2 linked regions of the Xenopus tropicalis genome follow. The protein of the gene in region 2 purifies or fractionates together with the protein of the main gene of each other region. This does not show direct contact. Links are inferred from orthologs where the notes say so. Each region holds a gene or a part of one and is shown on either strand. Other genes may lie near its edges. The genes, in order: mia2 and mia3.

Region 1 (11,812 bases), on a different chromosome or scaffold from region 2:
CACAACAGTATATTATTCACTAAGCTATTGTAACTGTGAAGTAAGTTGAATTAGAGACACATTCATTTAGCATTTCTTTTAAATATATTTTTTTATCATGCCTTTTCCAACACCCACAGGCCATGGTGCTATCACACAAGCAGGGCAAGGTTCACCACCATTGTTTAGCAATAGGACATATATTACACAGCAGCACACGTGTTGCAAACTAGTGCTGGGAAAGCTCTAACCAGAGCTTTATTAAGGGAAAAAAAACAAGCACATAAAAACAAGGATAGTCTGATTTCTATCTTTGCTTAAATCTTACCATTTGCTAAAGCAAAGAATGCACTCTGCCTTTTGTCTTGTGACAATAAGGGCACTGTTTCAATGGAGATTTCTTATTCCTGCACAGTAATCTCCCATAATTTTTTTCTCATGCAGATCAATGATGTTGGGAAACATTAAAAGGAATGACTGTATTTTAACCCAAAATAACTATAGTAAATATATACACAGATATGTAGATATGTGAGGTTCCATCAACCATACACAGGCAGATTTAAGCTGCAGATTTGAGTCCTTTAGACAGATTCGGCAACTTATCTGCCTCTGTATGGGGCCTCCCTGATCAATATCTGGCCAAAAATCAGCTAGGTGTCAATTGAGATTGACACCTGGCTGAGCAGATCTTATTGACCAAATAAGTGGATCTTAACTTGTATGGCCACCTTAAGATATTGTGAGAGATGCAATGGGAAAGAGCGTTATTTGGTGTATTTCCACCAGTACTTAAGGTGGGATACAAATGGCCCAAGGTAAAATACCTGGTTTTACAGCAGGTAATGCTGTTTTGGAGTAAATCTCCTTTAAGGTTTGATTTGGCCAGCTGTAGGGAGCTGCCTGATTAGGCTGCAGGTGAAGCAGTCAATAAAAGGGGTTGTGTGATTTAGAGAATTGGAATTAAACTTTGAGTGAAGGTCACTCTCAGAGCAGGGCACAGAGCAGGAGGGCTGCCTGTGTTAGGAACTCCCAGAGGAGCTGGGGGTGCCACCTGCCACTGCCAGGAAGCAGAGGGAGTGCTGACCGAACGGATGAGTGCTGAGAGGGCTCGGCAAGGCTTAGTGTGAAGCCTGAGTGTTCCAGACCGTGGAAATAACCCTGGAAGGTGAGAACCCTGAAGAAGGGACATCTCAAAACCCTGAACTGTTTACTGAACTGTCTTTATGTTTCTGTTGGGAAGAATTGGCCCTAAATAAACCTGAGTTTTGCCTGAAGACTTGGTGTCCCTGTCTCTATGCTCCAGATCCTCTGCATGCCTGCCTGCCTACCATTGCTATTTCCCCCAAAATTGCGTGTACAGGCATTCAGCATGTCACAATATATAAGCTGATAGGGCAAGCCCAGAACCAAAGCTCCTATTAGATTTTCTCTGCCATCATAAAGTGTGCTGAATCCTAGAATATATATATATATATATATTGTTTTCTGTATCCCACAATTTATCACGTGGCACCCAGGCCGTATCTATATTTTTTTGGCGAGTGCCCTCCCTCTATTATGTTATATATATCCACTTACTTGTCAATGCTAATTATTCTTTACTATACCGAAGGTTTAATGTTCAGAGCTCAGGCTATTCAAGATTACAATGGACCTGACTGCAGATATCTGAGTTTTAAAGTAGGAGCAGAAATCATTGTGTACTACAAACTGTCTGGTAAACGAGAGGATCTATGGCAAGGAAGTGTAAGTAAACACCATTAATTCAGAAACCTTTGTCAGATTCCGGCATCGTTGTGCGAGCATTTACAGTTTAGATTATGAAACTATTAAAATTACAGAATAAAAAAATGGTGTAAAGAAAAAAAATAGTTAATAGTATACTGCCATCATTGCATTACACTAAAAAGTTGTTCTGCCACCAACATGTCTGCACTATAGAGAAAGCAAATGTTTATTAACATTGGAAACAAACATAACCAGAACTTTGCTTTTGTTTTCCTATTTGTAGTTGACCATTCAAATCTAATTGCTGATTTGTTGCTATGGGCAACATCACCGATGACGTTTGTCTCCAATGTTAATAAATACACCACTGAATAAAGTGCTGCTCTGCTTATTTTGCTTAGTGTGCCTACCTTTGAAATATTAATACGCTAACATGCAGCAAGAGCAGAGGGTCATTTGTATGGCTCCTTAAAGGGAAACTGTACAGTTTTCATTATATAAGCAATTGTATTTATTATTAACAATAAATTTGCAAAAGAAGTGCCCCTACTATTCTAAGCAGAGAGGCCTCAGAAGCCACTTCCTGCTTCAGTGACGTAACCTGGCGGCTGCACAAGCAGAGCTGCAGGGGGCGCCCAAAACAGCAGTCAGCAATTTTTACATAACTTTATTTTGGTGTCTATAGTTCCATTTTAATAATTGTTAGCCGGAATGTTCTTCAGGGACATTCTGCAAACTTCTAGCTGTCTGTAAACTGAAATCCCCACCAACTGTTGGAGGGTTCTTGGTTGCACAAGATTTATGTAGTTTTTTTTCTTATTAGAACCAAAAACTGCAGTTCTCTTCTCCCCATAAACATATTTCATTCCTGCTGCTTAGAGGTCTTTCAAACTCCATTTAATTTCTAGAACTGCAGTTTCTTTGCACCATAACCAATAGTCCAAGTCCATCAGTTCTCATATATACAGTACAAGCTTTGTTTCCAGTTATCCAAATATTTGTATCAGGGCTCTATTGGTCCCTAAATATTTCAGAAAGTAACAATTTAAGGTTCAAAAATAGCAGTTGGTGCACTAAATTTTATTTATTTTAATTTTCAACATATTTTAAGTGCATCAATTGCTATTTCTGAATTTTGTTTTCCATCTGTTCTTCTCTTCACCCCTTGAAGTCACAGTCCTATCTCTTCCCCAACACATCTCTAGCCCCAGGGCTCAAGTGATTTAATTCCTGGACTTAAGTGAAATTGATATGCAAGTCCATATGTTGAAATACCCCATTAGGCAAATAATTAAAGGAAAGAAAGCTAAATGTGGCAGATTGGTTGATGTAAATAATTGTGTACAAAGGTTGAATGTCCCCTTTAAACAACAGAGGTCATTTACAGCATGGATGGCAGTATGCAAAGTGCAACAAATGACTGCAATTGGCTCAGTGCTATCATACGTTGCTGTATTACTACAGGTCTCTGTGCTGTGCTTTTTAGTGCAGAAACTGATTGTTCAGGCCATTTTTGGCCAATGTTATACATTTTGGGCCAATATTCTCAGGAACTATAATAGTAACACAAGATAATATATTGTTTCCAGACTGGTAAAGAATATGGCTTTTTCCCAATGCATACTGTTACAATTGAAGAAATCTACGTGACTGAAGAAGTAGAGGTTGATGCACAGGTAAGACTATATTAGCATTTCATAACATTTATAATTTCTTATATTAGTAGTAATTTTCCTGAAGGCTGATTCTGTAACCCAAAACTGCCATATTGGGAACCAAGCTCAGCACTTGGGTTAATGTTACTGTGCGCTAAGTGCAGTTTTTAATGCAAGGCACCATTTTTCCCACAGTGTTATGAGAATTCAGTGCAACTATTCTATCTGCCAAATTGTGCCCAGTGCATCAAAGCGAATGCAATTTTGCATGCATGTGTTTGTGAATCAGACACAAGTTGCGGGACTACATTGTTTCCATAGCATGGTATTTAAATTCCATTAGCATATGATTCTTTCTTTGCTAGTCTGTTGCATCTAGTGACACAGCAGCTGTTGGTACCATGGCACTACTGGCATGCCCAGTGTGGCCGCAGCTCCAGTGCTCCCCAGAGTCACTTTTATCAGAAAAGACGGGGTGAATGCAACGGTGCTCAATGCAACTATGAGAATGTGAAAGGTTAATTTTTTGACTGCATGTACCTTTTAATAAAGAGCATCAATACCTAGTTCCATCCATTTTAGTGTAACCACACTTTCACCTGCATATATAAATGACCCATTTGGTCTAAAAAGTTCTTTACAGACTGAAGACTAAAAGATTTCTGCCTTACAAACAGGTTGACTAAGGTGGAATAATTTTGGAGAATGAGGCTTACAAGTGACTTCAAATTGATATAAGAGAATGCTCAATATTAGATATGTACATTAAGATTGTATCATCATTGTTTTGAATCTTCTTTCAGGAAATTGATTTTGTTTGTCTGAATGGGGGTGAATATGTATTTGAAAATGAGGACAGTGTACTGCTTAAGCCTGAGGAAAGCGAATATGCTCGTGACTTGGAGAGTAAAGTAATTAAAGGTGAGAAGGTACAATCTTTAAAGGTAAAAACATATTTTTAACAGTAACTGCTAAATGTTTAATTAAAATGTCTTTATGTGTTCCAGATAACAAGTTTGTTGGAAATACAGAGACAAATACAGAAACAAACATACAGACATCCGAGAACCTGGAAGAAATAGACAAATCTAAATGGTCTACATCAAGTATTGCAGGATGGTTCGGCATAGGAGAGTCAGAAGACAAACAAAGTACTGAAATTAACACAGAACCTGTAAAAGAAGATACTTTTCACTCAAGGAAAATTGCAATAAGTGAAGAAATGGAAATTAAAGGAACTGATGAAGTGGAACTGAAAAAGTCTGGATGGTTAAGCAGTCAATTTACAAATTTTCTGCCATTTGGAAAAAGGGAGGTTGATGCTCCAGTTCAAAAAGAAAAAACAGATGATGTGGTTTCTGCTCATACAAGTCAATCTGATGAGATGAAAATGAATGTCAAGGAAATACCAACCGAAGCAAGCACTTCTACAGAGCCACAGTCAAAATGGTTTAACTTTGCTATAAAAGATGTTTTCGGAGTTGGCAGTAAAGATGAAGTTAAGATAAAAGATGTTCATGAACATGGAGATATCATTTTAGAAAATGAACCATCAGAAATTTCCAGTGATGGTGAAGAATTAACTGCAACAAACAGTGAAGACAGAGAGGAAACATTTGATGAAACTAAAAGCCAAGAGAAAGGTGGGTCTTGTGATTCACAGCTGTTAGATGACTTTTCATGTGTAATGTCAGGGGGAAAAGGCTCCCAATCCATTGAGAGTGTTATATCAGAAAACCAAAATACTTTGCAATCTTATAAAGAGCTCCACAATGAAGATATTAGTGAAAATTCGTATACACAATCATATGCCATGCCAAACTGGGTAAACAATAAAGAGGATAGGACTGTAGAAATTCATATAGAAGCTAGAGAAACAATATATGAAGGTCAGTCATATAATTCAAAGGAAAATAAGGAAATGGTTCAAGCAGACTCTGGTAAAACTGAAAATCATGATATGGCAAATGGTCAAAAAAATAGTAGCAAGCTTAGTCTTGAGCCCTCTCTTAATATACTCCCAAATACAGACACAAATGGTATAAATACACTTGTCCAGACAACTACAGGAACAACATCTGGAGATAGAGATGAGCCTAAAAAGACTTATACTGATGAGATAGAAAATCAGTTTACAGCTGAGATCAATAGTACTGTATCCCCAAAAGAAGAAAACAATAAATCTCAAAAGAGTTTTATACCTCAGGTTGATCTCTTGGAATCTCAGGATAAAAAAGATCTGGATACTTTAAAAAATAATATATATTCTTCCAATCACATAGATGAAGCAAGCCCTAAAGAGAACACTGTGGTGGATTTACCCCTGGATGACAAAATTGAGCAAATGTATGCTGAAAATACTGTCAATTCAACAAAAACACAGGAAGAGAACATCAAAATAAATGAATTTTCAGCTGATGGGACAAAGGAAAAACACAAAATTCTGTCTACTGATAACCCTATAGTGAGTGAAACATTTAGGACAGAACTGTCTTCAGATATTGGGAACCCAAATACTGACTGTGATATCAGTAGCAACACTAAGATTCATAAAACTGTTGCACAAGACTTTCTATCAAAGAATGAACTGAGTGAACATAGCCAGGAACTAGAAACAGCAGGTAAGTTGGGATACTGATTTATGCATATTAGGTTATGTAGAGCCGTACTGTCTTGTGCAAAATAGAGAACATTCAACAAAAAATGATCACATGGAGTAAAATGGCAAAGCTAATCTGACACTAATTTAATTGTTCCCCTAAAACAGAAAAAACAGCATGTAGGAGGAAACAGTGTCTGGACTGTAATTTTGTAGGTGCCTGATGTATTGTAGTGCTTAGTTAAACACTAGTTCGAACTACTTGATTAAAGCCTTATGCTCTTTCATATAAATGGTGCGCACCACAGTATTAAACAATAAGATCCTCTCTTGTTTTGACAAGAATTCTTTATTTGCAAAGTTATAGCACCATGAAAAAATAAACAAAAATATAATTTATGATTTATGTCACAGTGTATTGGCAGCTTTTTATTTGGATCGGGTTCTTTACATTTCAAATTAAAAGAGACCTGTTATGCAGAATTTTTGGAAAAGAGGGTTTTCCAGATAAGGGTCTTTCTGTAATTTGGATCTCCTTAAGTCTACTAAAAAATAATCTAATCATTAAGCCCAATGGGATTGTTTTGCATCCATTAAGGATTGATTATATCTTAGTCGGGATTAAGCATAATCTTCTGTTGTATTATTACAGAGAAAAATGAATCATTTTAAAAAAATTTAATTATTTGTTTAAAATGGAGTCTATGGGAGATGGGCTTCCTGTAACTCAGATCTTACTGGATAACTTTTCCCATCCCTGTATTAAAAATGAAAAAAAAACTTGATTGTGCAGAAATATCCCACATGAAAAGAAAAAAAAAAATAATCAATACCAGAAAACATTAATAATCCTGAACCCAAACACCATCAGGTAATAAAAATGTACATATACAGTATATATATAGTACACAGCGAGGAGCACACCCTATACAAGTCCAAATGCCCTTGGTGCAGGTTAAAAACAAAAGTATAATAGAAAGAGTGCCGCACTCACAAGGACTTGATACAAAAGAAAAAGTGTTTTTCAGCCAAGACTTTTTCTTTTGTATCAAGTCCCTGTGAGTGCGGCACTCTTTCCAGTGTATATATATATATATATATATAGCATGAAATAATCCATGGCCGGCACACCCTTAAAATTCAAAAAAAATTTTTATTGAAAACTCATTGTTTTTTGATGGTTTTTAAACAATGAGTTTTCAATAAAAATTTTTTTTGAATTTTAAGGGTGTGCCGGCCATGGATTATTTCATGCTAAATACTCAGATTTTGGCTGTGCACCCCACAGAATACTAAAAGCTTTGGAGTGCAGACACCATCAGGACTGATATATATATATATATATATATATATATACTTATACTTGAAATAATAATATATAAATACAAATTATAACAAATATATACAAGGTACAGTTGCAATAAGTTAAGAATCCAAGAGACAAGAGGATGAAGGTCTCTGCCCCGTAGAGCACTGTACAGGTATGGGACCTGTTTTCCAGAATGCTCTGGACCTGGGGTTTTTTCCGGATAATGGATCTTTCCGTAATTTGGATCTCCGTTACTTAAGTCTGCTAAAAATCATTCAAATATTGAATACATCCAATAGGCTTGTTTTGCCTCCAATAAGGGTTAATTATATCTTAGTTAGGATCAAGTACAAGGTACTGTTTTATTATTACAGAGAAAAATTTGAATTATTTTCTTACAATGGAGTCTATGGGAGATGAACTTTCCATAATTCGGAACTTTTTGGATAACGGGTTTCCGGATAAGGGATCCCATACCTGTACCATGTCCAGATTATGTTGCATACATGTACAGTGGAGGAAATAATTATTTGACCCCTCACTGATTTTGTAAGTTTGTCCAATGACAAAGAAATGAAAAGTCTCAGAACAGTATCATTTCAATGGTAGGTTTATTTTAACAGTGGCAGATAGCACATCAAAAGGAAAATCGAAAAAATAACTTTAAATAAAAGATAGCAACTGATTTGCATTTCATTGAGTGAAATAAGTTTTTGAACCCCTACCAACCATTAAGAGTTCTGGCTCCCACAGAGTGGTTAGACACTTCTACTCAATTAGTCAACCTCATTAAGGACACCTGTCTTAACTAGTCACCTGTATAAAAGACACCTGTCCACAGAATCAATCAATCAAGCAGACTCCAAACTCTCCAACATGGGAAAGACCAAAGAGCTGTCCAAGGATGTCAGAGACAAAATTGTAGACCTGCACAAGGCTGGAATGGGCTACAAAACCATTAGCAAGAAGCTGGGAGAGAAGGTGACAACTGTTGGTGCGATTGTTCGAAAATGGAAGGAGCACAAAATGACTATCAATCGACCTCGCTCTGGGGCTCCACGCAAGATCTCACCTCGTGGGGTGTCAATGATTCTGAGAAAGGTGAAAAAGCATCCTAGAACTACACGGGAGGAGTTAGTTAATGACCTCAAATTAGCAGGGACCACAGTCACCAAGAAAACCATTGGAAACACATTACACCGCAATGGATTAAAATCCTGCAGGGCTCGCAAGGTCCCCCTGCTCAAGAAGGCACATGTGCAGGCCCGTCTGAAGTTTGCCATTGAACACCTGAATGATTCTGTGAGTGACTGGGAGAAGGTGCTGTGGTCTGATGAGACCAAAATAGAGCTCTTTGCCATTAACTCAACTCGCTGTGTTTGGAGGAAGAAAAATGCTGCCTATGACCCCCAAAACACCGTCCCCACCGTCAAGCATGGGGGTGGAAACATTTTGCTTTGGGGGTGTTTTTCTGCTAAGGGCACAGGACAACTTATTCGCATTAACGGGAAAATGGACGGAGCCATGTATCGTGAAATCCTGAACGACAACCTCCTTCCCTCTGCCAGGAAACTGAAAATGGGTCGTGGATGGGTGTTCCAGCACGACAATGACCCAAAACATACAGCAAAGGCAACAAAGGAGTGGCTCAAGAAGAAGCACATTAAGGTCATGGAGTGGCCTAGTCAGTCTCCGGACCTTAATCCAATAGAAAACCTATGGAGGGAGCTCAAGCTCAGAGTTGCACAGAGACAGCCTCGAAACCTTAAGGATTTAGAGATGATCTGCAAAGAGGAGTGGACCAACATTCCTCCTAAAATGTGCGCAAACTTGGTCATCAATTACAAGAAACGTTTGACCTCTGTGCTTGCAAACAAGGGTTTTTCCACTAAGTATTAAGTCTTTTTTTGTTCGAGGGTTCAAAAACTTATTTCACTCAATGAAATGCAAATCAGTTGCTATCTTTTTTTAAAGTTATTTTTTCGATTTTCCTTTTGATGTGCTATCTGCCACTGTTAAAATAAACCTACCATTGAAATGATACTGTTCTGAGACTTTTCATTTCTTTGTCATTGGACAAACTTACAAAATCAGTGAGGGGTCAAATAATTATTTCCTCCACTGTATATTACTAATTCAGTTGATTGTATTCATCTGAGTATTGCCTGCATTCATATTATTTTTACATTTTGTATCACTAGTTACTTATCTTTATTATTATTATGTTGAGATGTGCAACCCTGTGTTTTTCTCACTTTACATTTGCTGTCTTTACCGGCTCCTATTACCAGCTATACTAACCATTTATAGGGTCTGGTACATCATCAAAGTCTCTGTTTAACAGCTTTTCCCAGCATCTTCTTTACCAGCTATTTCTATCTTTTTAGAGATAAATACCTATACCTGCCCTTCATAGTTTTTTTTTTTTTAGTTACTATTCAACCCTTTTTTGCAATTACTGTACAAAGAGTTTTTTGTAGTCATATTAATTGTTTGCAAGGGTTATTCATCAATTATATTAACCTTGCCAGGATTTTGTTCAGTTTGTAGGTTTACCAACACATGCTGGCTGTTTAATTATTAAAGGGACTGGGTAAAATGAGGTAAAAAAAAAACAGCTCTTCACTCGCATTTCCTTTTCTTTGCAGCTTTTGTATTCCCGAAATGTTTTTTAAAAATGCACCTAAAATGCAATTAACAAAAGGCAAAGAAAGGCAAATGAGATAAAGAAGTCGCTTTCATATTTTACAAACTTGACCCTAGCCCCTGATGAATAATAAATCAGCCCCTTAGTGGGCACTTAAGCACAGATTTATCAAAACATGAGATTAGAGCTCATCATAAACAAAATTTCAGTGCCAAGTAGAACTAACTACATGAGACAGGGTCAATAATGGCAACTTAGCCTGCTGTTTGTTCCTAGCCTTAGAAAACCAATTTTTCTAATCGCATTTCTTAAATCATTATGCTACTTAAGGGTGTATATTGTTTTGTAATTAGGCCGATACTTTTTTTCTTGTAATTTTTACATCTTAATATGTCCTTTTTTTAACCTATATTACTATATGCTATATGGATTTGCAACTCTTTATTTAGCCCTTGCACTGTGCTTATTACTTAGGCTTTAAACTCAGGGGTCTGTATGTTATTAACAGTTTACTTACCACTTTGAATGTGTTCCTCTGAGGATCCTACCTTCCTGTCTTACAAGAAGCATTTTCCATCACTTTCTACCCAATCTATTTTAATTACTGTTGTTGCCTTTCTTCCACCTTTATACATGCTCAATTTATTGAACCTTTTATTACATACTTTTCTTCTGCATTTGTGAGGTGCCTCCTAGCAATGTAATCTTTTCACTTTTTTATTGAAAGCTCTGTTTTTCTGTATTTTTATCTTCTTCAAATTGCATAAATTTGAAGAATAACATGATTTTAATCTGCATGATTCATTCATATCTGGATGGCACTATTAAAGCAGCATTAATCTGATCCTTTAAAACATTTAAAAAAATCACAATTGCATATAGCCTTTCTTTTTTAAGAAAGAGACTTCTCGTATCACCTTCATTGTAATGCAATCATTTGGCCCTGAATCTTACCGTGTATGGCCACCTTAAGCCTGAAGCTCACTTGACATTAAAATGCAGGGATTTCAGAATCTTAAATATTGTATTATTTTTTATTCTCGTGTGTGTGCATTAGTTTCTCTTGAATGCAGATAAAATGCATGACTCAGCTGAAAAGACCAGCTTCATAAGAAGACTAATATCAAAAGCTAACTGATATCCAGACCCAGTATTAGGTTTCAAATAAAAGCTTGAATCGGAAAGCCTCTTAAAATGCAACAGGTGTTTTGATGACTCAATGAACTAAAGCTGCAAAAATCTGCAGATACCCAGGAGCAATATATTGATGTTTTGCAAGCCAATGAAACTATTAACAAAGAAGCTGAAGCCTGTTATTCTATGGCAACAAAGCAACAGGCACAGAAAAGAAAATGGCTACCTTGGAAAAATCTTTCATGGTAAAAAAGAAAGCCACTGAAAATGGAATGTATAATAGTTAGTAATGTAATGAAAAACTGACATTTAACTACAAAAGAACCGTTGTTAACTTTGGAACCTGATACGGTTGATGTATGATACGGCTATCTATGAAGGAAAAAGTGAAGACTAGTATGTTGGTTTTCCTAACACAGAATTTTAGTAATCATAAAAAAGGATCAAAATATTCCTGTTGTGAACTATATTCCATTGAAGCACAGTGTGGAAATCTGATTTCCAAAGTCAATTAGCAAGTATACTAACCGACCAGTACTGCAGCGCAATGAAAAGAGTCTGCCAGTAATATCTAAATGTACTGGGAGACACTATTACCCATAGTTTGGCATGATCGGAAAATACATGGTGAAAACCCTACCGAAGGACTAAACAGAGAGTAAAAATCAGTGTAACCATGGGTAGAAGCCAGATGCACTATACATTAGATTCACAATTAAACAACAAATAGGGCTTACAAATGTAGCACTTATAACCAA
Region 2 (11,812 bases):
TATTCCTGAGAGGGCACTGGGAGTAAGGGCTCTCTTTTCTAACTAGCAAGGTGGTGTCCTGTCTTCCTGATTGTGGGTATAGCCCCATACTCACAAGTAACCTAAATTAAATTTAAAATAAAACACAAGGCAATGGGATGCCCAGAGCTTCTGTGCCATGTGTTTTTAAAGGGGGCCTTCTCTTTCTGCAGTGCGTATACACCTTGTGCATCCTGGAGTATACACGCTGCAGAAAGGGAACACCCGCATCTATACAGCTACCCAAGCGGCCCAGACTCCACTTCAGTGCGGGCACTATAAAGAAGGACTCGTTATGCCTATATATTCATTACATTTATGAGTGCAAATTTAACTGGAAATTTGTATTAAATCTTCCTTAATAGCAGAAGATTTGATACTGCATCAATCTGGTATTTAAGTAAAGCAAGACATTGCTTTTAAACATTTTTAATTACCCACCTATACCCCCCCACAAGGTGAATTACAGTGGATAAAGGATGCATGGAAACACCAATGGTGTTATGAGGAGCTGAATACAATAAATAATGATATATTCTAAAGTCATCCTTTAACCTTGCAGTTATATGTAGGGGCATACTATACTACACTATATTATCAAATTATTCTGCTTGATTTCCCCTGAGCTTTTCTTTACCGCTGGCTCTTATGTTGTAACGTTGTGTGGCTATCAAAGGGGAATGAGTTTATGAGCCGGAGAGAGGGGGTAATCCAGTGACCTTGGACTACACCTTGAAGAGAATGACAGTTCTCCATGACTAACATTTGTCTAAACCTAATACAACTCCCCATGTTGCTCTTTATTCAATTTGAGAACCTTGAAATATTTACCTGTACCAGAAGAAACCTGCCCACAATTATTAAAGCACTACCCACCTGGTGCGGAGATTCTTCCAGACATATCAGCTTGGGAACACCTTGGTCCGGGTGGAATGTCCATTGCACCTTTAAGTCAGAAAGGATTACTTATTACCATGGAGTGTGCAGTTTTATGACGCATAATGTAACACATTGAAGGATATGTTTTGATACTGTGTCCAGTTATCCAGTGTTTATTCACTGCCAGTATATTGCCATAAATGGAACCAGCTGCAGCCAATCTGAGAAGCCACACTAGTGAACCAGCTGTTGAAGAACATTCAGGAATATGTAGGAAACACTCAGCACCAAGTCTTGCATTGCTGCAGGCTAGCCAAATAGATACACTGTATATTGCAGCAGATCCCATACAGCCTAGTTCATTGTATTGAGATTTTTAAAACAAGGTTCAGCAGTGATGACCTGAGGTCCTAAAGATTTAGTGTGTGCAACAGAATGTTACTTACCAAAGTCACCCTTAGGACCCTCAGATCTATTAAGGTTGGCAGATGATGACCTTCCGGATACATCCATCATTAAAGGAGGTGAAGGATTTCCCCCACTTACAGGGGAAGGTCCAAATGAGCCATCTCTGCTCAGATTACCTTAATTTAAATAGAAAGAAAAATTGTTAGGGATCATCCATTATATAGCAGACATGCAATTATCTTTTTAAAATGGCACAGAAATGACATTAACTACATTTAATTAAATCGATAGGTCGATAAAATTCAGTAACCCACAGAAGGGGCAATGGTTGATGCTTAGTACCTCTCTTTAGTGATTGCTGATGCTCTGGCCTTCCTGGCGTCGGCTTCACAATGGCAGGTCTCTGGAGCTCTGCAACTCTTTGGTTGACTTCAATTAATCTGAAAAAGCATTTTATATAAATACATGTACACTGTTGATATGTGGGATCTAGCATAATCTTAGTCTCCCATAAAAGTTCTCTTACTTCTGCCGGAGGTTTGCACACTCTCGTTTCTCTTCTGCCAAGGTTCTCTCAGCTGACCGAGCAGAGAGCTGCAGCATAGACAGGGATTGGAGGAAAAAGAGGCCATAGTGAGATGCATTAGCAATTATTAACCATTTCTAATATATCAATTAGCACTAAAATGAAGGCATTCCATCATTGATTATAACTTATTCTCCAGCATGAAGGATCGGTGGAAAAGGTGAAAAAGTCCCCTAAAGGGTAATTACAAAAAAATTACATTTCATAGCTGTATCTGAAATAATTTCTCAAACCAGCTACAGCCAAAAGAAAAGTACACATTTTTGGCAATTAAAACATGAACAATGTCAGTTAAGTCCCCGACCCATTTGTTCATATGGTCAACCTAACAGACTGATTGGTGACAACAGGTTGTTGTGGCCTTTAGCAAAACCACCTATAGGGTAAGAACCCATGGAGCAATAACTGCTCCAAAAAGGCTTTCCACTGGCAACAATAGAAGTCACTGGTGGAAAGCCCTTCGCATCACTTCAGTTCCCAAACATTGTGCAACTTCGGATTACCGAAGCGATGCAAAGGGCTTTCCACTGGCGACTTCTATTGTTGCCGGTGGAAAGCCTTTTCGGAGTGGTTACTCGCCCACGATAGTGGAGATCTTTCGCAAGCGAGTAACTCGCTCCATGGGTTCTTACCCATAAGGGCTTAGTCACACAGAGCGTTTTTAATGAGAGAAGCGGATCCACTCTAATCAGTATCTCCATGTAGCTGCAGTGGAGTGGAAAGTGGCCTGAAAATATCACTGATTTCAGGCCTGATTTCTGATAGTGATTGTCAGTACAGCTACAGGGAAGTGCTGATTAGAGCAGATCTGCTTCTCTCTACCTGATTAAAAACCACAGCTCCAGTATCTCTGACAATAATTAAGCTGAGAACTTTCTAAAGCCCTGACCATTTACAGTCATGTGACTGTTCAAATGCTCTTTTTCGCTACCTGCTCTACACCAGTCAACATCATAATGCTCTGACTGATGCCAGGTTGGCTCTAATCTTGCCTACTTCAAATCTGAGGAAAAGTCTTCTACTACATTATAAAGGTGTATATAGGTACCACACTCACCCAGTTTTCGTGAGCTTTCTTTTCATGGCTTGCAATCTGAAAAACATGAATAAAAAGAATTTAACACAAACTATAACAGAAAAATGTGCATTCCACAAACCCTCCTAAAGCTATCTAGCCTTCAGTGAAATACATAACTATAAGGGCCAGGCAGGCCTATCAGAGCACAATCAGTGGCCATTTGGACCCATTTCTGTACTTTGTCAAGAAGCAGTGCTAGAGGTTAAAGGGAAAGTTTTACTTAAGATTAATTTTGGCACTATGTAGATAAGTGAAAAAAGTTTGCCTCTTGTAGTGGCAACGAAGGATGATTTGCAACTAGAATTAGATTTTGGGTTATTTAATGGTTTGTAACTGGTTTCTAGGCTTCCACTACACAAGAGACCCTGGCTTGAATTACAGAGAGGGTCTGGATAAACAGACAGGTAATACAAATAAATTGAATTACTATGCCCACAATCAAGCTGCTTTTGATTAATATGTTACTCACTAAGTGAAGCAGTCATTGAAGTTAGCCACAACAGCCAACAAATATTTAGCTTGGATCAATCTACTGGCGCTATAATTTTCAGGCTTTACACTAACAACCTATTTGAATCAGTAAAGCCCCAATGAAGAGCTAAAAAGGAAACACAGTGTACCCAGGAGATACAGACACTGCCCATTACCTGGTTTTTGAAGGACCTTTCCGTTTTCTGTAGCTCTTCTTCCATTTCTTGAATTCGCTGCCTGCAAAATCAAATACAATTAGCCAGTTGTAAATGAATGCCTATTGTTAGTGTTTGTTCTCCCCCACTTTGATTAGTCACCCTCAGTAATGCCAAATGTCACTTTCCCTAGCTGAACACAATCAGTAATTATTTGGATTTATATACAGCTAATTGATGGTTTATCATTTATTCACAGCAAAAAATATATACTTGTAGATTTTGACTTCTGCTACAGCCGAGACAGCCTTTTCGTCAGCCATCGTCAGCTTCTGCTCCTTGTCTTGCCGCTCAAACTCCTCCTGTGTAAGTTTCCTAAAAGAAGCACAAGAACCAATATAAGTCTCCTGCTTGATATAATATATTGAAATGTGCAGGCAGAGAGTGTGAAGGTTCCCAATATGATGGTGTAGTACAGTGTTGTCCAACTGGCAGCCCACGGCCCCCACCTGTCTAGTTGCTGCAAATGCTTAAGCTGTACATTGTATCAGTACTGAGGTTAACTTCCCCCCTGTATTGTTTACAACCTCAGTTTTAGGCTGTAAGCCCCTGCATTGTTTACACCTTCAAGACCCTGCATTGCTTATACCTTCAAGACCCTGCATTGCTTATACCTACAAGACCCTGCATTGCTTATACCTACAAGACCCTGCATTGCTTATACCTACAAGACCCTGCATTGCTTATACCTACAAGACCCTGCATTGCTTATACCTACAAGACCCTGCATTGCTTATACCTACAAGACTCTGCATTGCTTATACCTACAAGACCCTGCATTGTTTACACCTATAAGATCATGTGTTGTTCGTACATATAAGACCCTGCATCGCTCAAACCTAAAATACCCTGCATCATTCCAACCTACAAGACCCTGCATCGTTCCAACCTACAAGACCCTGCATCGTTCCAACCTACAAGACCCTGCATGGTTCCAACCTACAAGACCCTGCATGGTTCCAACCTACAAGACCCTGCATCGTTCCAACCTACAAGACCCTGCATCGTTCCAACCTACAAGACCCTGCATCGTTCCAACCTACAAGACCCCACCGTGTTCACATCTACAAGACAATGTGCTGTTCACACATACAAGACCCTGCATTGTCCACACCTATAAGGCCATGCACTGTTCACGTCTGTAAGACAATGCATTGTTCGCACCTCTAAGACCATGCATTGTGCACACTTATAAAACCCTGCAGTGTTTACACATATAAGACCCTGCATTGGTTACACATATAAGACCCTGCCTTGTTTACAACTATATTTAAGGGTGTGGCTTAATATGACTTAATAAGCTTCTTTTACATTGGTTATGAGGATATCCCTGCAGTGAGTACCAAGAATTTGGGCTTTTGCTGTGCTACCACCATTAATGTGGTTAACATGGATGTGGTTTAAAGTGGCTTCCATTATTATCCCTCCACCATGTAGGCCAGAATAACACTGGCCCTCGGTATAACAGAAGTTGGACAGCACTGGTGCAGTAGATGGCGGTAATAAAATGCAGCTCCCCCATTTCACGCTATCAATCTTAGACTTTTTAAGGATCCCAAGTGGCTTCATAATAGAATTGTTTTTCATGGCACAATATGCTGAAAACTAAATATGTTTTTCCCCCTCCCACCACATGCTGTGCCCACCCATGTCCTTAATTACTTTTGCAGGGCCATCTCCTTCTGCTGGTACAGTTCTGTAAGGATTTCAACTTTCTGGCGCAGAGTTTTGCATTCGTTGTCCAGGCGCGTCTTGTCTGACTGCAAGGAGCTGCCGTCGTGCTGAAGTTGCTGAATTTGTTCTAGATAAGAAAGAAACATATAAATTTGCAGCAGCAGCAGCAACTTTGAAGGGGCGTTCAGCTTTAAGTTAACTTTCATGTTACTTTTCAGTATTTATTTATTTTATAGTTTTTAAATGATTTGCCTTCTTCCTCTAACTCTTTGCAGCTTTTAGACGGGAGGTCACTGACCCCAGGTGCCAAACAACTATTGCTTTGTGGCTACAGTTTTGTTGTTATTGTTACTTTTTGTTCCTTATCTTTCTATTTAGGTCCTCTCCTATTCATTTACCAGTCTTTCATTCAAACCACTCACTGATTGCTAAGGTAATTTGGACCCTAGCAACTGCTGAAACACAAAACTGGAGAGCTGCTAAACAAAGAATGAATATTCTTGAACCAACAAATGTATTTGTAGCTGTAATATTGGTGTGTAGGCGCCATCTCAGTGCCTTGTGCCTGAGTCTGAGCTTTCAGCCAGCGCTACACATTAGAACTGCTTTCAGCTAACCTATTGTTTCTCCTACTCCCATGTAACTGGAGGAGTCCCAAGCCGGACTTGGATTTCTTACTATTGAGGGCTATTCTGATACCTACTGGGAGCTGCTATCTTGCTCCCTTCCCATTGTTCTGCTGATCGGCTGCTGGGGGTGAGGGGTGGGGATATCACTCCAACTTGCAGCGCAGCACTAAAGTGTGACTGAAATTTATGACAGTTTTCCTTTAACAAACAAGCAGACCTTTTCCAGTTTGGGCAACCACATGCTGGGCTGTTTACATGGGCCTATGCAGATCCATCAGAAAAGGACTGCATTAATAGATACAATGTTACTTTGCTTGTTTGCTGAATAGTTTAATTGCTACAGACAAAATCAATATCCCAGCTCTGTCTATTACAGGTTTGTTGGTCTCAAAATGGATATGTCAGTCAGTAGTACACGTTTCTATTAGATGGCTACCTTCAAGGTCATGTCGTGCAGAAACCTCATCCGCCAGTTTTCTTTGGTAGAGGTCTTTTTCTTCCTCAATTATTGATAAGGTGGTTTTAACCTAAAACAAGGAAGATCAGGAACAGGTTATAAAAAGTTAATGAGTATTAGGAAAGAAAAAGAATCTAAATCAATCAGCTGCTGAATGCACTGCCATAGTCTTGTTCCCTCATTCTCTCTTAATTCTTTGGATTGGAGCAATACTAAGGGGAAAGACACACAGAGCTACTTAGTAGCAGCTACTTGTCATGGCTACTAAACGCCAGAAAATCCCCTGCCATAGACAATATTAAGAATTGCCCCTGCTAATACACACGTAGATTTTTGTAGCCATGACAAGTAGCTGCTACTAGTAGTTCCATGTGTCTTCACCCTAATAGTAACAGCTGACGTTCATAACATTATTTTGATACGTTATGCTAATTTTTGTTAAGTGCAGTATACAACAATAAATATCTATGGGGACCAAACAAAGTGCAATCTCATACTTACCCTTGAGACATCCATCATTTGCTTAATCTGCACTTTCATTTTCTCCTTCTGCTTCTCTAAAATAAAACATTTCAATAGATACAGATTAGCTGTACAGATTCTGTTTGTTTTGAACCTATATCTAATGTTGCCAACAAAATACTTCACGTCTATCCTAACAAAGTACTTGGCACACTGGTACAGTTATAGTATTGCTGTGGATTTTTACCAGCCCTGGCAAAATGATTCTTTAATAGTATCTATAATAGGTCAAGTCAGTTATTACCCTTAAAAAAAAGAAGTTCTGACCAAATGGAGTTTGTTACAGGGAAAATATATACAATAAAGACATTTCATGAAAGCTTCCTTGCATCGGGGACACAAATAAACTTAATATGTAAGCAAGGATGGCATTCCCTAATGATTGTCTAACCCAACAGCTTCTATATCACTGATCGTATGCCCCAATAAACAAGGACTAGGAGAGGAAAGTTACCTGGAACCTCTCCATTTGCCAATTCCCCATCCCCTGCCTGCTGCCAGTTACCATCTTCTACCAGTGTTGAGTCCGCCTCAAGCTGTTTTAGTTGCATGATGCAGTTGGTTAAAACCTATGGATCAGAAATTAGTGTAAATTAATTAAAGACTATTATTACGGCATTAACATAAACTCACAGGGCTACCATAACTGTAATATGAGAAGACAAATAGGGGCCCTGACCATTCTGTGTCTCCTTGGCTACTAAGATTACAATTTTAAATTCTTCAGTGCACAGAATGCTTCCTAGTCACAGAATCCCAACGACTCCTAGTAGAGTAGAGGAACAGTGCTTTCCAGGTAATGATATTTCCATACACAATGGCCTACCTCAATCTCATTTTCTTTGTAGGCCAGGGTTTCCTCCAGATCTTTGTGAGACTTCTGCTGCAGCTGTATCTGCTCATCAAGCTCTCGCTGCCTTTCACTCCACCCTTCAGCTTCTTTTAGCAGCTAAAACAGATTGAACACAAGTATAATCAATTGTTTTACTGGTTTTATCAGGTTTTCTTTCTTTGTATGTAATCTGTATTTTTACTGTATACACCTACTTATTGAACAGTGCTGTGGAATATGTTGGCACATAAAATAACTACATAAATGACAGTAGATATTCTTAGGATATTCTGCCCCATAATAAAACTATTTACACTGTATGCCCTCCTTCTGTTAAAGGTACAGTAACACCAAAAATGAAAGTGTATCAAAGTAATTAATATATTATGTACTATTGCACTGCACTGGTAAAAGCTGTGTGTTTGCATGGGGGTAGCTAATTAAAAAAAGGAGAAAAGGCAAGGGTTTCAAGAAAATTTGCACAGTTCCCATTGTATTCTACAGAACATATCTGTTATCTGCTACATAGCCTGTGCCTTTTTTATATTACTGTTCCTTTAACATGAATACAACAGGAGAATGTACATTACACTTAGTGGTATATACTTGTAGAGAAACTGACTGATCCTATAGGACAACCAATTTAGACCAAGACTTTTTACGTTAGTGTTTTGCTTGGGAGGATACTTTCTCACATACCTGCTCCTTTGTCTCTTTGAGTCGGGAGTTCTCATCCTTCACACCACGCAGTTCATTTCGCACTTTTGCCTCTTTCAGTTTTACTTCATTCAGAGCAGCTTGAAGCTAAAAAGCAAGAAGTATTGTCAAGAAAAATCAGGCTTCCTTGCATATCAGTTAATCTCCATAATTCAGAACTAATACAGTCATGCCAAGAAAGCAACGTGAATGTTATGCTAACAGCTGCTCTCATTAAGGTGTGTGTTATCAAACTTTTTTTTTAATTTAAAGTGGTAAGTTTAATATCAACCTTCAACTTAAAGAGGTGGTTCACCTTTAGGTTAACTTTTAGTATGTTACAGAAAGGCCAATTCTAAGCAACTTTTCAATTAGTCTTCATTATTTGTTTTTCATTGTTTTTTAATGATTTGCCTTTTTCTTCTGACTCTTTGCAGCTTTCATATGGGGGGGTCACTGACCCCGGCAGCCAAAAAACTATTGCTTTGTGAGGCTGCAGTTTTATTGTTATTGTTACTTTAATATCCCTTCTTTTTCTATTTAGGTCCTCTCCCATTTATATATCAGTCTTTCATTCAAACCACACCCTGGTTGCTAAGGTGATTAGAATCCTAGCAACCAAATAGCTGCTAAATCTCCAAGCTGTAGAGCTGCTGAACAAAAACTGAAATAATTAAAAAAAACTACAAATAATAAAAAATGAAGACCGATTGTAAGTTGTCTCATAATATAACTCTTTACATCATACTAAAATTTAATGTAAAGGTGGACAACCCCTTTAACATCACCCTTATCCAGTCCCTGGCTTACTGAGGGTGATGGGAGTTGCAGTCCAGGCCAAGTCTGTAACATGTAAGAAAACATGTAGAAAAGAATCTCTCACCTCCGACAGTTCAACTGTGTGCTCCAAAAACTTATCTTGAAGTTTTTCTATAGATTTCTGCCCCTCGTTGATCTGTGATGAAAAATATTCATGAAGACATTTAAAATCAATAGCTCATATACATAAAACATTACAAATCAAAACAGCAAACAATGTTTTCTTATTAAGCAAATAATTACAGAAGGCGACAAATAGAAGATTTGAAGTAGAACCAGAAAAGAAATGCTTTGCTTATAATAATCTATGGGCTCAGTTTATTATGTATTTACATAAGAATAAACAGGAACTGATATTTTCCCTTATTGATATGAATGTGTTGTCATTCTGCTCTCACCATTTCCTGTTTCTTCTTGCTCTGCTCTTTCTGAGAGACAAGGTCATTCATTATGTTCCTCATTTTTGAATCTAAAGCCTTGTTGGAATCCTTTAGCTCCTTAATGGTGGCCTGGAAAAGCAAGGATGAGTATCATTTCAATGTGAATACAACAAGCTTTAAGGAACTAAACAGACAGGCACATTGCATTTATTGATGGACTAGGTTTATAGAGAACTGGTGAAATCCTAGGGTCTAGTTATAAAGTACAGAACCAGCCAAATAAGCATCTAATAACTAGGCAATTTTGTACTATATGCTCCTAGTCTCCACTGACTCCAAATGCTGACTTGAAGCAATTCTGTAATAATATACAGTGGTGTGAAAAACTATTTGCCCCCTTCCTGATTTCTTATTCTTTTGCATGTTTGTCACACAAAATGTTTCTAATCATCAAACACATTTAACTATTAGTCAAAGATAACACAAGTAAACACAAAATGCAGTTTTTAAATGAGGGTTTTTATTATTTAGGGAGAAAAAAAATCCAAACCTACATGGCCCTGTGTGAAAAAGTAATTGCCCCCTGAACCTAATAACTGGTTGGGCCACCCTTAGCAGCAATAACTGCAATCAAGCGTTTGCAATAACTTGCAACGAGTCTTTTACAGCGCTCTGGAGGAATTTTGGCCCACTCATCTTTGCAGAATTGTTGTAATTCAGCTTTATTTGAGGGTTTTCTAGCGTGAACCGCCTTTTTAAGGTCATGCCACAACATCTCAATAGGATTCAGGTCAGGACTTTGACTAGGCCACTCCAAAGTCTTCATTTTGTTTTTCTTCAGCCATTCAGAGGTGGATTTGCTGGTGTGTTTTGGGTCATTGTCCTGCTGCAGCACCCAAGATCGCTTCAGCTTGAGTTGACGAACAGATGGCCGGACATTCTCCTTCAGGATTTTTTGGTAGACAGTAGAATTCATGGTTCCATCTATCACAGCAAGCCTTCCAGGTCCTGAAGCAGCAAAACAACCCCAGACCATCACACTACCACCACCATATTTTACTGTTGGTATGATGTTCTTTTTTCTGAAATGCTGTGTTACTTTTAAGCCAGATGTAACGGGACACGCACCTTCCAAAAAGTTCAACTTTTGTCTCGTCGGTCCACAAGGTATTTTCTCAAAAGTCTTGGCAATCATTGAGATGTTTTTTAGCAAAATTGAGACGAGCCATAATGTTCTTTTTGCTTAAAAGTGGTTTGCGCCTTGGAAATCTGCCATGCAGGCCGTTTTTGCCCAGTCTCTTTCTTATGGTGGAGTTGTGAACACTGACCTTAATTGAGGCAAGTGAGGCCTGCAGTTCTTTGGATGTTGTCCTTGTGGCCTCTCGGATGAGTTGTCTCTGCGCTCTTGGGGTAATTTTGGTCGGCCGGCCACTCCTGGGAAGGTTCACCACTGTTCCATGTTTTTGCCATTTGTGGATAATGGCTCTCACTGTGGTTCGCTGGAGTCCCAAAGCTTTAGAAATGGCTTTATAACCTTTACCAGACTGATAGATCTCAATTACTTTTGTTCTCATTTGTTCCTGAATTTCTTTGGATCTTGGCATGATGTCTAGCTTTTGAGGTGCTTTTGGTCTACTTCTCTGTGTCAGGTAGCTCCTATTTAAGTGATTTCTTGATTGAAACAGGTGTGGCAGTAATCAGGCCTGGGGGTGACTACAGAAATTGATATTGAAATTGAAAATTGAAATGGATAAACCACAGTTAAGTTATTTTTTAACAAGGGGGGCAATCACTTTTTCACACAGGGCCATGTAGATTTGGAGTTTTTTTTCTCCCTTAATAACGTAAACCTTCATTTAAAAACTGCATTTTGTGTTCAATTATGTTATCTTTGACTAATAGTTAACGGTTTTTGATGAGCAGAAACATTTAAGTGTGACAAACATGCAAAAGAATAAGAAATCAGGAAGGGGGCAAATAGTTTTTCACACCACTGTATATATTATATATATATATATTCAACAGAGCTGAAAATAAAAGATAATATGCTACAAAAACAATCCACATCAGTTAAGGGAAATCCCAGACATTTGCAGAACAAAAAAAGCAAACAGTTCACACTAACCAACACATTTTTCCCCTCCCCAA

The links.
Region 1: the proteins of mia3 (region 2) and mia2 purify together in Homo sapiens (affinity purification with western blotting; 6 studies listed by BioGRID and IntAct, counting the BioPlex papers as one, with this or other methods). This does not show direct contact. The link is inferred for Xenopus tropicalis from reciprocal best matches to the Homo sapiens genes MIA3 and MIA2.

The regions. Positions count from the first base shown.
Region 1 is NC_030684.2:90,853,149-90,864,960, forward strand, and holds part of mia2 (melanoma inhibitory activity protein 2), read left to right. Parts: intron 1-1,594; coding exon 1,595-1,728; intron 1,729-3,299; coding exon 3,300-3,386; intron 3,387-4,168; coding exon 4,169-4,286; intron 4,287-4,372; coding exon 4,373-5,986; intron 5,987-11,812. UniProt on the Homo sapiens protein: Plays a role in the transport of cargos that are too large to fit into COPII-coated vesicles and require specific mechanisms to be incorporated into membrane-bound carriers and exported from the endoplasmic reticulum.
Region 2 is NC_030681.2:9,625,294-9,637,105, forward strand, and holds part of mia3 (transport and Golgi organization protein 1 homolog), read right to left. Parts: intron 9,794-11,812; coding exon 9,683-9,793; intron 9,421-9,682; coding exon 9,349-9,420; intron 8,574-9,348; coding exon 8,469-8,573; intron 7,887-8,468; coding exon 7,764-7,886; intron 7,507-7,763; coding exon 7,392-7,506; intron 6,973-7,391; coding exon 6,917-6,972; intron 6,486-6,916; coding exon 6,395-6,485; intron 5,457-6,394; coding exon 5,318-5,456; intron 3,971-5,317; coding exon 3,869-3,970; intron 3,678-3,868; coding exon 3,617-3,677; intron 2,985-3,616; coding exon 2,949-2,984; intron 1,900-2,948; coding exon 1,832-1,899; intron 1,746-1,831; coding exon 1,648-1,745; intron 1,482-1,647; coding exon 1,344-1,481; intron 964-1,343; coding exon 895-963; intron 1-894.